Macaca fascicularis: one gene and its partners. The protein of the gene in region 1 purifies or fractionates together with the protein of each later gene. This does not show direct contact. Links are inferred from orthologs where the notes say so. Each region holds a gene or a part of one and is shown in the gene's direction. Other genes may lie near its edges.

The links.
Region 2: the proteins of SLC9A6 (region 1) and MBLAC2 purify together in Homo sapiens (co-immunoprecipitation; 3 studies listed by BioGRID and IntAct, counting the BioPlex papers as one, with this or other methods). This does not show direct contact. The link is inferred for Macaca fascicularis from reciprocal best matches to the Homo sapiens genes SLC9A6 and MBLAC2.
Region 3: the proteins of SLC9A6 (region 1) and CLGN purify together in Homo sapiens (co-immunoprecipitation; 3 studies listed by BioGRID and IntAct, with this or other methods). This does not show direct contact. The link is inferred for Macaca fascicularis from reciprocal best matches to the Homo sapiens genes SLC9A6 and CLGN.

The regions. Positions count from the first base shown.
Region 1 is NC_088395.1:142,125,966-142,129,616, forward strand, and holds part of SLC9A6 (sodium/hydrogen exchanger 6), read left to right. Parts: intron 1-2,609; coding exon 2,610-2,687; intron 2,688-2,990; coding exon 2,991-3,067; intron 3,068-3,367; coding exon 3,368-3,480; intron 3,481-3,651. UniProt on the Homo sapiens protein: Endosomal Na(+), K(+)/H(+) antiporter. Mediates the electroneutral exchange of endosomal luminal H(+) for a cytosolic Na(+) or K(+).
Region 2 is NC_088380.1:94,475,524-94,479,745, reverse strand, and holds the start of MBLAC2 (acyl-coenzyme A thioesterase MBLAC2), read left to right. Parts: upstream 1-1,390; 5' UTR 1,391-1,486; coding exon 1,487-1,940; intron 1,941-2,288; exon of another isoform or gene 2,289-2,416; intron 2,417-4,222. UniProt on the Homo sapiens protein: Acyl-CoA thioesterases are a group of enzymes that catalyze the hydrolysis of acyl-CoAs to the free fatty acid and coenzyme A (CoASH), providing the potential to regulate intracellular levels of acyl-CoAs, free fatty acids and CoASH.
Region 3 is NC_088379.1:145,557,137-145,560,787, reverse strand, and holds part of CLGN (calmegin), read left to right. Parts: intron 1-1,152; coding exon 1,153-1,226; intron 1,227-1,882; coding exon 1,883-1,941; intron 1,942-3,651. UniProt on the Homo sapiens protein: Functions during spermatogenesis as a chaperone for a range of client proteins that are important for sperm adhesion onto the egg zona pellucida and for subsequent penetration of the zona pellucida.

The DNA.
Region 1 (3,651 bases):
AGCCTCCCAAGTAGCTGGGATGACAGGCGCCCACCACCACGCCCGGCTAATTTTTGTATTTTTTAGTAGAGAGGGGATTCTACCATGTTGGCCAGGCTGGTCTCCAACTCCTGACCTCAAGTGATTCCCCCGCCTCGGCCTCCCAAAGTGCTGGGATTACAGGCATGAGCCACTGTGCCCAGCCGATCCTTATAGTTTTATAGTACTTCAGCACGTTGGCTTTATTTGATAATACCTAAAATATTCTATTAATATTTCTTTCAATTCTTTCTTGCCTTGCTTGTATTCTATACTGATCACAATTTAATCTTTCTTTGATTCACAATCTGACACAACTTCGGGGGCCCTAAGTGTGAGTCTGAGGTATTGTACCATGCTGTGCATAAAGCTTTATGTTAGAGTTTGGGTTGCAATTGTACTCGCTCCCAGCCATCCCTGGAGCTGCTTTCTCCTGTCTCCCTCATAGGTTTATCATGGTGTTTCTCAGTGCTACTTTGATCATATATCTTTGTTTTCTCCTGCCCTTTGCTGTTTGCCTTCACTTCTGTCTGCTACACTGGCAGGACTTGACTTTTTTTTTTTTTTTTTTTTTTTTGACATAGGGTTTTACTCTGTCACCCAGGCTGGAGTGTAGTGGCATGATCTCAGCTCTCTGCAACCCCCGCCTCCCAGGCTCAGGCGACCCTCCAACCTCAGCCTCCTTAGTAACTCAGACTACAAGCACGTGCCACCATACCCAACTAATTTTTGTATTTTTAGTAGAGCTGGGGTTTCACCATGTTGTCTAGGCTCGTCTCAAACTCCTGGGCTCAGGCGAACCACCCACCTCAGCCTCCCAAAGTGCTAGGAGTGCAGGCAGGACTTGACTTTTATAGCTACTTGGTTGTGTTTCTGACCATATTTAATGCTTTTAAAATTTCATATGAACTTGAGGTTTACCTTGCAGCAAGAGTTCTTTCCACCTGTGGAAAATTCCAATTCCTTAAAAGTTTTAGTAAATGAAGTTTTAGCATGGGTTTGTGTGTAGCTGCTTTGTGTTCATGTCACATTCTGCTGCAGCCTTATGAACAGAGGGGGGCATTTACATTTTTATGGTGACTAGATCTTACAATGAGTGGACTATCGGAAGTAGAAATCTGAGCCGTACAGAAACTTTTTACTACAATATTATACACCTTTAGAGATGTTATCTATGTAAGAAATCTGTTTCTTTTTGCCAACAATAATACTGTACTCTTAAGTTTTATATTACCAGTTTGGGGTTTCGTTCATTCATTCATTTATTTTTGGGACGGAGTTTCGCTCTTGTTGCCCAAGCTGGAGTGCAGTGGCACGATTGTGACTCCTCCACCTCCCAGGTTCAAGCATTTCTCCTGTCTCAGCCTCCCGAGTAGCGGGGATTATAGGCATGCACCACCATACCTGGCTAATTTTATATTTTTAATAGAGATGGGGTTTTGCCATGTCGGTCAGGCAGGTCTCGAACTCCTGACCTCGAGTGATCCACCTGCCTCGGGCTCCCAAAGTGCTGGGATTACAGGCGTGGGCCACTGCACCCAGCCAGGTTTCTTTTATTTAAAGCAAAAATAATGTTCATCCTTTCTCTTATTTATTTATTTATTTATTTTTTGAGACAAAGTCTCACTCTTTTGCCCAGGCTGGAGTGCACTGGCACGATCTTGGCTCACTGCAATCTCTGCCTCCCGAGTTCAAGCGATTCTCCTGCCTCAGCCTCCTGAGTAGCTGGGATTACAGGCACGTGCCACTACACCCGGCTGATTTTTGTATTTTTAGTAGAGATGGGGTTTCACCATGTTGGCTAGGCTGGTCTTGAACTCCTGACTTCAGGTGATCCACCCACCTCGGCCTCCCAAAGTGCTGGGATTACAGGTGTGAGCCACTGCGCCTGGCCCTATTTTTAACTTTTTGTTTGTTTGTTTAGCTGGAGTCTTGCTCTGTCACCCAGGCTGGAGTGCGGTGGTGCAATCTCAGCTCACTATAGCCTCTGCCTCCCAGGTTCAAGCAATTCTCCTGCCTCAGCCTCCTGAAACATTTTTTAATCGCATAGTATTTTAATACACCTTCCACAAATAGGCCTTAACTGATTGTTCCAATGCTATCTCCTGGTCGTTTGGTTGAGAAGTAGAACAGAAGCTATCCTTTTTTTTTTTTTTTTTGGAGGCGGAGTCTCGCTCTGTCGCCCAGGCTGGAGTGCAGTGGCCGGATCTCAGCTCACTGCAAGCTCCGCCTCCCGGGTCTACGCCATTCTCCTGCCTCAGCCTCCCGAGTAGCTGGGACTACAGGCGCCCGCCACCTCGCCCGGCTAGTTTTTTTTTTGTAGAGACGGGGTTTCACTGTGTTAGCCAGGATGGTCTCGATCTCCTGACCTCGTGATCCGCCCGTCTCGGCCTCCCAAAGTGCTGGGATTACAGGCTTGAGCCACCGCGCCCGGCCCAGAAGCTATCCTATATGAAATATTTTAAAGTTAACACAGTAATGTTCTTGCTTTTGACTAGTTTAACATTTAGTATTTTTTCTTTTTGATCATTTGATAATGGAATATGAGGTCTTCTAGGGAATTGATCTAAAAGAACTCTTTATTTTAACAGGTTACTTTTGATCCAGAAGTATTTTTCAACATATTACTTCCTCCTATCATATTTTATGCAGGTTATAGCCTGAAAAGGGTAAGTCCTTTTGTCTTTCATATACTTTGAATAATCTGAAACTCCGTGGGCTTTGTAATATTTGACACTTCAGAAATGGGCTGTTCTTTCCAGATTCCCTCCTTTCTCCTCTCCATACCCTTTTTAGATGTTAAAATTTATACCTGTACAAGAATGCTTTCTCTTATTTATCTTAGTGAATAATGCATTTAGTCCTAGTGAATAATGCATTTAATATTAGCATAGCATAGAAAACCTTTTCTTTTTCAAATAACTGGTAAGTATTCTAACAGTGTAACTTTTTTTTTTTTTTTTTTTTGTCAGAGACATTTTTTCCGAAATCTCGGGTCTATCCTAGCATACGCTTTTCTTGGAACAGCAATTTCTTGTTTCGTTATTGGGTAAGTATTTGAAGCTTAAAATACTTTGTAGCCTTCAAATTATAATTTTAAAATCATATATTTTTGATTTATGCAGTGTTATATTCCTGACTGGGTCTAAAGACTTTTGCAGTATTCTCATAGGTAATAAGTTGTTTGAATTTTCCTTAAGACCAAAGTATTACCATATTTCAATGACATGAATTAAATTTGGGATTAGTCACAAAGTACTACAGTAAACCCATCTTCTTATTCTTACTTTATCCTAATTTTTTAACAGTTGATATTTTTTTCTAAAGTAGGACTGTGTTTATTGAACAGGTCAATAATGTATGGCTGTGTAACGCTGATGAAGGTAACGGGACAACTTGCAGGAGATTTTTACTTTACAGATTGCCTACTGTTTGGTGCCATTGTATCAGCAACTGATCCAGGTATGTTTTATATGAGTGGAGTTTACATACTTGAGGTACATTGTTTTGCAGTCAAATACATGTGGGTTTTTCTTTCTTTGAGGTGTAGAATTCATGATTAGGTACTTCCTTAGTACTATACTTTCTAATTGTGGAGGAAAAAACAAAATTCATGATTCCTTTTGGCTTCAG
Region 2 (4,222 bases), on another chromosome or scaffold:
GGCGGAGGTTGCAGTGAGACGAGATTGCGCCACTGCACTCCAGCCTGGGCAATAGAGACTCTGTCTCAAAAAAACAAAAAACAAAAAAAAAACCTAAATAGATGCTTCAATAGCTGGGAAGTGGGGAGTGGAGACAGTGACCTGATGTTAACAGAGCGGATGATTTAAGAGGCTGGCGGGGCCACACCCAGTCATTATTCACTTTTCCCGTCCTTACCAGGTGCTCCTTTTCTCTATTTGAGCCTTTCTACCAACTCGCGTTTCTCTCTTCCAAGGACAGACCAAATCAAAAAAAAAAAAAAAAGAGGGTGGATACAGAATTTTATTTTTTAGAAGAAAAGACAAACCATATTAACAACTTCCTTCCCTACGATATAAAATGCCAACAGTTACGAAAACAGATACTGAACAGTCGGTCCTTAGCTGCAATCTGCGGCAATGACTAGTGCCTCAACAAATCATAAAGTCACTGGATTTGGAAAATAACCTACTATCAGTAAGAGCATAAATACCCTTCTAACTCACTGCAAACAGTCCCAGGAGTGGAGACTGGGTAAGATCTGGAAATTCGACTTAAAAAAATTCTGAAGGGAGCAGGACAAGGAGGGGAGGTACCAAGCTATCTCCAAACACCCCTCAACCCAGAGGCGCTTTAATGAATCTCTACCCCCGACTTCCCCCACAACTTCTCCACATGCCCCTTTAACTCCCCTCTACCCTCACCACCCCTCCCAAGTCTTCGATTGCTTCCTCGGTTACCTGTTCCCTAAGTCTCGAAGCTTGGGCAAAACTCTGCAGCCGAAGCGCCGGCCGGCAAGTAAGGGGTGCTGGCAGAGAACACCGGCGCTCGAGTGCCGTTCGTTCCACCTCAGGAGAAACTCGCACCGCCCTCCACGCGGCCCCAGGACCGCGGCGTGAGCCCTACCAACTAGCCCCGCCCACTCCCTAGGCAGGCCCCACCCCCTCGGCAAAGAGCTTTTTTGCCCTTGGCAGGCTCCGTAGGCTCCGTACAACCTGCTAGGCCCCACACTTTCCGCGCCAGCTAGGAGTGCGCGCTGTGGGGAGCCAGTGGGTGGGCGGTCCTAGCGCTTCCCACCCTTGCTCCGGGCCTCTGCTGTCACACGCCCGGGGTGGCGAAAGGGTCACCACCTGAGTCTCCATTCTGCTGCAGTGGTCCCTGCGTTACAGCTCCCTCGTGGTGCGCCTGCCGAGGCTGCTGTAGCTCCTGCGCCCCCGTGCTGGTGGCGCAGTCTCTGCTTGCTGCCGACCTGGCGGGAGGGTACGAGAGCGCACGCTACTGGCAGCGTCGGTCTGCGTCCTTCCTCCTCCTATTCTGACTCCCGCATCCCCCGCCCCCGCCTCACTCAACGCCTCCTCCCTGGCTGCAGGCAGACGGCTCCACACAGCCGCAGCGCCCGGTGTTTACACAGCCTGTGGGAGACTCGCACGCCCACACTCACCCCGCCTGGCTGCATCCCTGCCCAGCATGTCGGCGCTCGAGTGGTACGCCCACAAGTCTCTAGGCGATGGTATTTTCTGGATTCAAGAACGCTTCTACGAGTCGGGCAACCGTGCCAACATCTGGCTGGTGCGCGGCTCCGAGCAGGACGTGGTGATCGATACAGGCCTGGGGCTGCGCAGCCTCCCTGAGTACCTGTACTCTTCCGGCCTCTTGCAGGACCGCGGGGCCAAAGAGGACGCGGCGCGCCGGCCGCTGCTTGCCGTGGCCACCCACGTGCACTTCGACCACTCCGGCGGCCTCTACCAGTTCGACCGGGTGGCCGTGCACCACGCCGAGGCCGAGGCGCTGGCTCGCGGGGACAACTTTGAGACCGTGACCTGGCTCTCCGATAGCGAGGTGGTGCGGGCGCCCAGCCCCGGCTGGAGGGCCAGACAGTTCCGGGTACAGGCGGTGCAGCCCACCCTCATCCTGCAGGATGGTAATGGGCCCCCGCGGGCGCGCGCTCTCGTTAAGGGAGGGTATTGGGAAGAGACTGTCCGAGTGCCGCATGTTGCAGACTTGCGTGGCCATAAAGGGGATTATTTTGGCACCTCGCGGAACCACTTCTGTTACACCCTTCCCTAAGTAAAAACCTACTTGACCAGAGCCAAAGCCATCACAGCCTTCCCTGCCAGAGGCCAGCTCTGGCACCGTATAGCAATTCTGAGTACTTCTTTGAAAGCCGGCACTACCCCTCCCTAGCCAGTTTCCTGAGTCGGCTGTAGTAGTAACACTACAGAGACTTGTGACTGACTAGGGATTTCTTATTCTTTCCCTAAGCACCTACCCGACATTTCCAGGAGCTTTCGTAGTGAGTAGACTTTTAAGGAATGACGCCCCACGGGGAGTGCATGTCATGATCTGTGCTTTTGAGAACTGCAGACTTCATCAGCTTGGTCACCACCGGGTATGGGCAGTTCCCACCTGTAGCCTTAGAAAGTCATCAGAGCAGCGATTCCAATCCGCTAATGCGATTGGAAACCTCTCAGATAGGTTTCTGTTCTTGATGTTGACTCACGATTGCAAAAGCTTAATAGTAATCATAAACGTAGAATAACTTTATGACAGGTATCTGGTCCGGCTGAAAGCAAAGCCTGAGAAAGATCAATAAGGAAGTAATTTTCGGTAGAGGTAAATTATGTGGACTAATGCATAGGTAGCCATGGTCCTCTTTGGCTCTGTGAAAGACAAATATGGAATTCAGAGAGAAATCCATGGGATGAAAATAAATAGATTAGGGCCTCAGCCCATTTCCCTACGCAAGGACTTAAATAATTGAGCTAATTTGCCACATCAGCAATATTTGGTATATTAGTTTTCTATTTTCTTTTTAGTATACTTTTGATTTCATTTTATCCTCACAACACATTTAAAGTGAGGCCACTGACCTCCCAGTTAAATGGCTTGCCTGAGACAGATCATGATAAAAGCTAGGATATGAATCTAGGCACAATAGATCAAGGCATGCAGAACGTACATAAATCCTACCTCATAAATATATGATGATAATTCTGAGTAGAATGTGAAAGGCCCCTTCTTTCCTTTAGTGTGAGACTATTTTAATTACCAATTTGGTTTATTAAAACATGCCTCTATATAGTAGAAAAAGCCAGTTGCTGCAGTATAGTGAAGCTCACTTTATGACCAAACAATATGGCAAATAATGAAATATTTTACAAAAATCAGTTTATCTCACAGATGACATCTTACTCATTTGAGATATTTTAAAAATTGCAGTATTATATTGTATTACTTATCGGTGCTAAAAAAAAAAAAATTGCAAGATTCTGTACCTCAACCCCACCCAACAAAAGTCTTCATTAAAGTTTTAAATCTAAAATTAAAAAAAAAAAAAAAACTGGTTTAGATGGGAGTCTTACATTATCTGACAATATGAGATGAAAGTACATGTACATTAAATTTTAATTTACATTAAAGTCACACCTAATTACTGTATTTCTTGACAAAAATGGGTACTTTTAGGGGTAAGATTTCCATGCAGTTGATGGGTATTCAGACTAAATTCTGACACCCGGACCAAAAATGTTTACATTAGTATTAAAATATACTTAAATTATTGAAAAGAATAAATTACTTTTGAAATTGACTTTTGATTCTGTATCAGCAATGGGAAATCAAAGGTGAAAGAATGATAGGGATTGTTTTATAGATGAAGAAAGAACCCATGTAGGCCTGAGTATCATGCAAGAGGTCACATCACCCATCTCGGAAAGAGCTGGGACTAGAACCCAGGTTTACCAGTTGATGGTAGAATCCTAACATTTTGGGAGCTGAAAGGGGCCTGCAAACTACTTGTGTGGTACTTTAAGCCTTTAAAAGGGTGAAAAGAAAGCTTAATGTTTACCAGACACTTTGAAGGTGATAGTACTGTGTTATCAAAAGTTGTTTTTCATGAGGAGCTGGATGCCCCACCCTCTCAAGCAGTGTCTACTTTCCTCTCTTCTCAAGAATATTAATTTCCCATATCTTCTGAATGATGTGGCCTGCTAACTTGCTGTTAACATAATCCAGATGCCTGGGAGGATACATAAAATATTTGTATTAAAAATTTGTATACAGTTACACACATGAACAGCATAAAGTATTCATTGCTTTGGTAGAATGCAAGGAGCTGAAATCATTTATTACATTTCCTTTAATGAATTGATGATTGCTTGTCATGGAGAAGCAAAAATCTGTGCACTGTATCTCTAACCCAAA
Region 3 (3,651 bases), on another chromosome or scaffold:
TTTGTCAATCTATAAAAATACAGAGAACAGTAAAGTTGTAATTCAGTAAACTTCATAGAAGATTGGCAGTTTAGGTAGCTGAATCTTGACCCTGTCAGTAATTTGTGGAATTTTGTGTAATTACCGATTTTACCCCCTTAAATAGACAGGAAGTGTTTTACTATCAGGGTGGGATAGGGACAGTGAAAATAGAAAAAGTATTTCTGCACCCTTTTCCCTAAAGCCTAATGGAAGAAATCTCACTAGTCATACAGATACAATCACAACAGGCTGATTCTGAGAGGATCCAGACTAACCTATTACTGTGGGCAAATTTTTATTTATTGGTCCTCAGTTTAAATTATCTTTTGATAGTTTATCAGTCTTTACTCTTTTAAATTATTTTGTTGGTAAATTCTGTATCATGTAGTAAAAATGCATGAGCTTTGGAATCAGACAGTTTTGGCTTTATATATAAGTCCTACAATTATCTAACTGGACAGCAGTAAGCAAGTTACTTTGTCTGTCCCAATTTCATCATATATAAAGAGGGCACAAATGGTACTTCCCCCATAGGAATATTATAAGAATTAAAGGAGCCACTATATCACCAGCAATACCACTGCCACCGTCATCATTATTGCCACCCTAACAGCTAACACTTCAAAGGCACTTGAAACAATGCTTTGTTGATCATTGTTTTGCAATGCTATCTCCATAGAATCTTTTCATTCTCTGGGTTCCTAATCTTGTAAAATTATATTATTATATTTTAGGGTACCTAACAGTAAAACTTAAGAGTTAATTTTAAAAGCCTATGTGCTTACTAAGCTCTACATCTTATATGCTTTTCATTATGCTATTTCCTTTGCTCCCAAAGAGTTTTATCCACAAATATTGTCACTTGTCAGAGTCCCTTTGTTCCTTCTGTGTTAGAAGGGGTCAGTGTATCCACTGTTTGTATGTATAGTATTTTTGTCATCATGGTATTTCTTATATTTTCTTGTACCTTATCATTACTAGGATACAAAGTTTTGTACAGGTATGGGTTTGTCACCTCATATCTGTATTACCTGTATGTGCATTGCATACTATGTTCTTCACTAGGAAGATTATTTAATTGAAATATTTGTGAAAATGAATAACTTTAGACTTGGAAAATCTCTTTTCTAGATTAAATATAAGACACCTCAACCTATAGGAGAAGTATATTTTGCAGAAACTTTTGATAGTGGAAGGTTGGCTGGGTGAGTATTCATTCAAGAGAATGTTTTGATTTATTAGCTTTTTTGAAGTTATTAGGTTTTGACCTGTGAAAATTACCTCTATTACAGATCTAAAAAAAAAATTAAAGTAGTTTAATTGACAATGTAAATCAGTACTTAGTATATTTTTGTAATTGATAGAATGTTTAATTTGAATAGTTATTTATTCAAAGAAAATATACTAATTCTGAATGTAAAGATGAAATTTATCATATGTATTCATTCTGTAGGACAGATATTAACACTCTTTAAGTTCAGATGACAAATATGAGTACTGTTCTATTACAATAATGGAAAAAACAAAAATTAATATTAAAATTATTATGTGTCAGATGTCCTAAAAAGAAATAGATAATTACCATATTTAATCCCCATTTTACAAGTGAAGAAACCGAGGCTCCTTGTACCTTACCTGTGATCATACAGTTAGGAAATTATAGATTCCAAATTCGGTTTAACTCTAGTCCTCCAGGATTATGTGGTGAAGGCATCCTTATTTAGCATCTAAGTATGAATTTATTGTTGAATGAAAAGTGACTGTATTGGGTGATCTTTTGTTGTGTTTCTGTATGCATTATATCTATAAGTTGCTGATTTTATTGTTAATGACATATATGTATGTTCAACTTTGTTTACAGATGGGTCTTATCAAAAGCAAAGAAAGATGACATGGATGAGGAGATTTCGATATACGATGGTAAAATATTTAAGTATTAGATATAACCGCTATGGCCTGGAGTTCACTAACTTTTGAGATTATATTTTTGTTAAATGGTGTTGGCTGGAGTCCCCCATGCTGCCTCGCAATAAAATGTTCAGTCTTTTATCTTGTCCCTTTTCAATATTTCTGAAAACCCCTTTGCTATTTCTGAAAATCTCACTCCTAATCCAGTTAATCTAGTTTTCTAACTGAACAGTTGAATTTTCATTCTACTGCTGGTTAGTCTTTTGCATTTCCTGAAGCAGTATTTCCCAGGCTACTGTTGTCTCTATGGTTTCATCTCAAGCCTAGACACACCTAGATCAAATTATAATTTATGGTAAGATTCTCCTAGCAAGTAAAAAGCAGAGGATAACTAATGAGAGCTACAAGATATGTGGCTACTTCTGGAATCCTCATCTCCAGGCCTATATCCATTATCATAGGGTGTCTAATAGGATTATCTTCAGTCTTAGCTCTAGAAAGAAATGTCCTATAGGCAGGGGTCATATTGTCTTCCGTAACAGGACTACCTTAGAGTATAACCAACTATTTTCTTCTTTGTGATCTAAAAACCAGCCTCCTTGATTGTTATATGCTGAATCACGATCGGCCTCTTCTCACAGTGACTGATAGTGGTAATGTCTTCTTTCTCAGAGGACCTCATACTCATAAACATGTGACCTTGCGCTCAGACCCCAATAAGCAGTTACATCACAACAGCAAAACAGATAGTATGTTGGATGTCAGCTGTCTGATTCCTTTTCATAGTTTCTGTTTAGTGTAAGATAAAGGTCATACCTACATGTCTTCCTTTGCATCGTGTTCGCCATCCCAGCAAATCCCCTGTGCATGCATACACACACACACACATATATGTGTGTGTATGTGTATATATGTCTATATGCTTATCTAGTCCAAAAAGGACACCACCTCATATGCACAGAAAAAGCAGTAGAAGCAGTAGTGGGATTGCTGGACAAATAGTAGATCTGCTTTCAGTTTTTTAATAAATCTCCATGCTGTTTTCCATAGAGGCTATATTAATTTACATTGCACCAGCAGTATATAAATGTTCCCTTTTCACCACATCCATGCCAATTGTTTTTTGACTTTTTAATAATGGCCATTCTTACAGGGGTAATGTAGTATCTCATTGTGGTTTTAATATGCATTTCCTTGATGATTAGTTATGTTGAGCATTTTCTAAGCATGTTCATTGGCCATTTCTGTATCTTCTTTTGAGAAATGTCTATTTATGTCATTTGCCTACTTTTTGATGGGATTAATTTTTTTCTTACTGATTTGTTTGAGTCTCTTGATTCTGGATACTAGTCCTTTGTCAGATTCACAGGTTATTAATATTTTCTCCCACTCTGTGGGTTGTCTGCTTACTCTGATGATTATTTCTTTTGCTGTGCAGAAGTTTTTTAGTTTAATTAGGTCCCATTTATTTATTTTCATTTTTGTTGCATTTGCTTTTAGGTTCTTTGTCCTGAATTTTTTGCCTAAGTCAATGTCTAGAAGAGTTTTTCTGGTGTTCTAGAATTTTTATGGTTTCAGATCTTAGGTTTAAGTCTTTAATCCATCTTGAGTTGATTTTTGTATAAGGTGACAGGTAAGGGTCCAGTTTCATTCTTCCACATGTGGCTTGCCAGTTTTCTCAGTACCATTTATTAAATAGGGTGTCCTTTCCCTAATTTATGT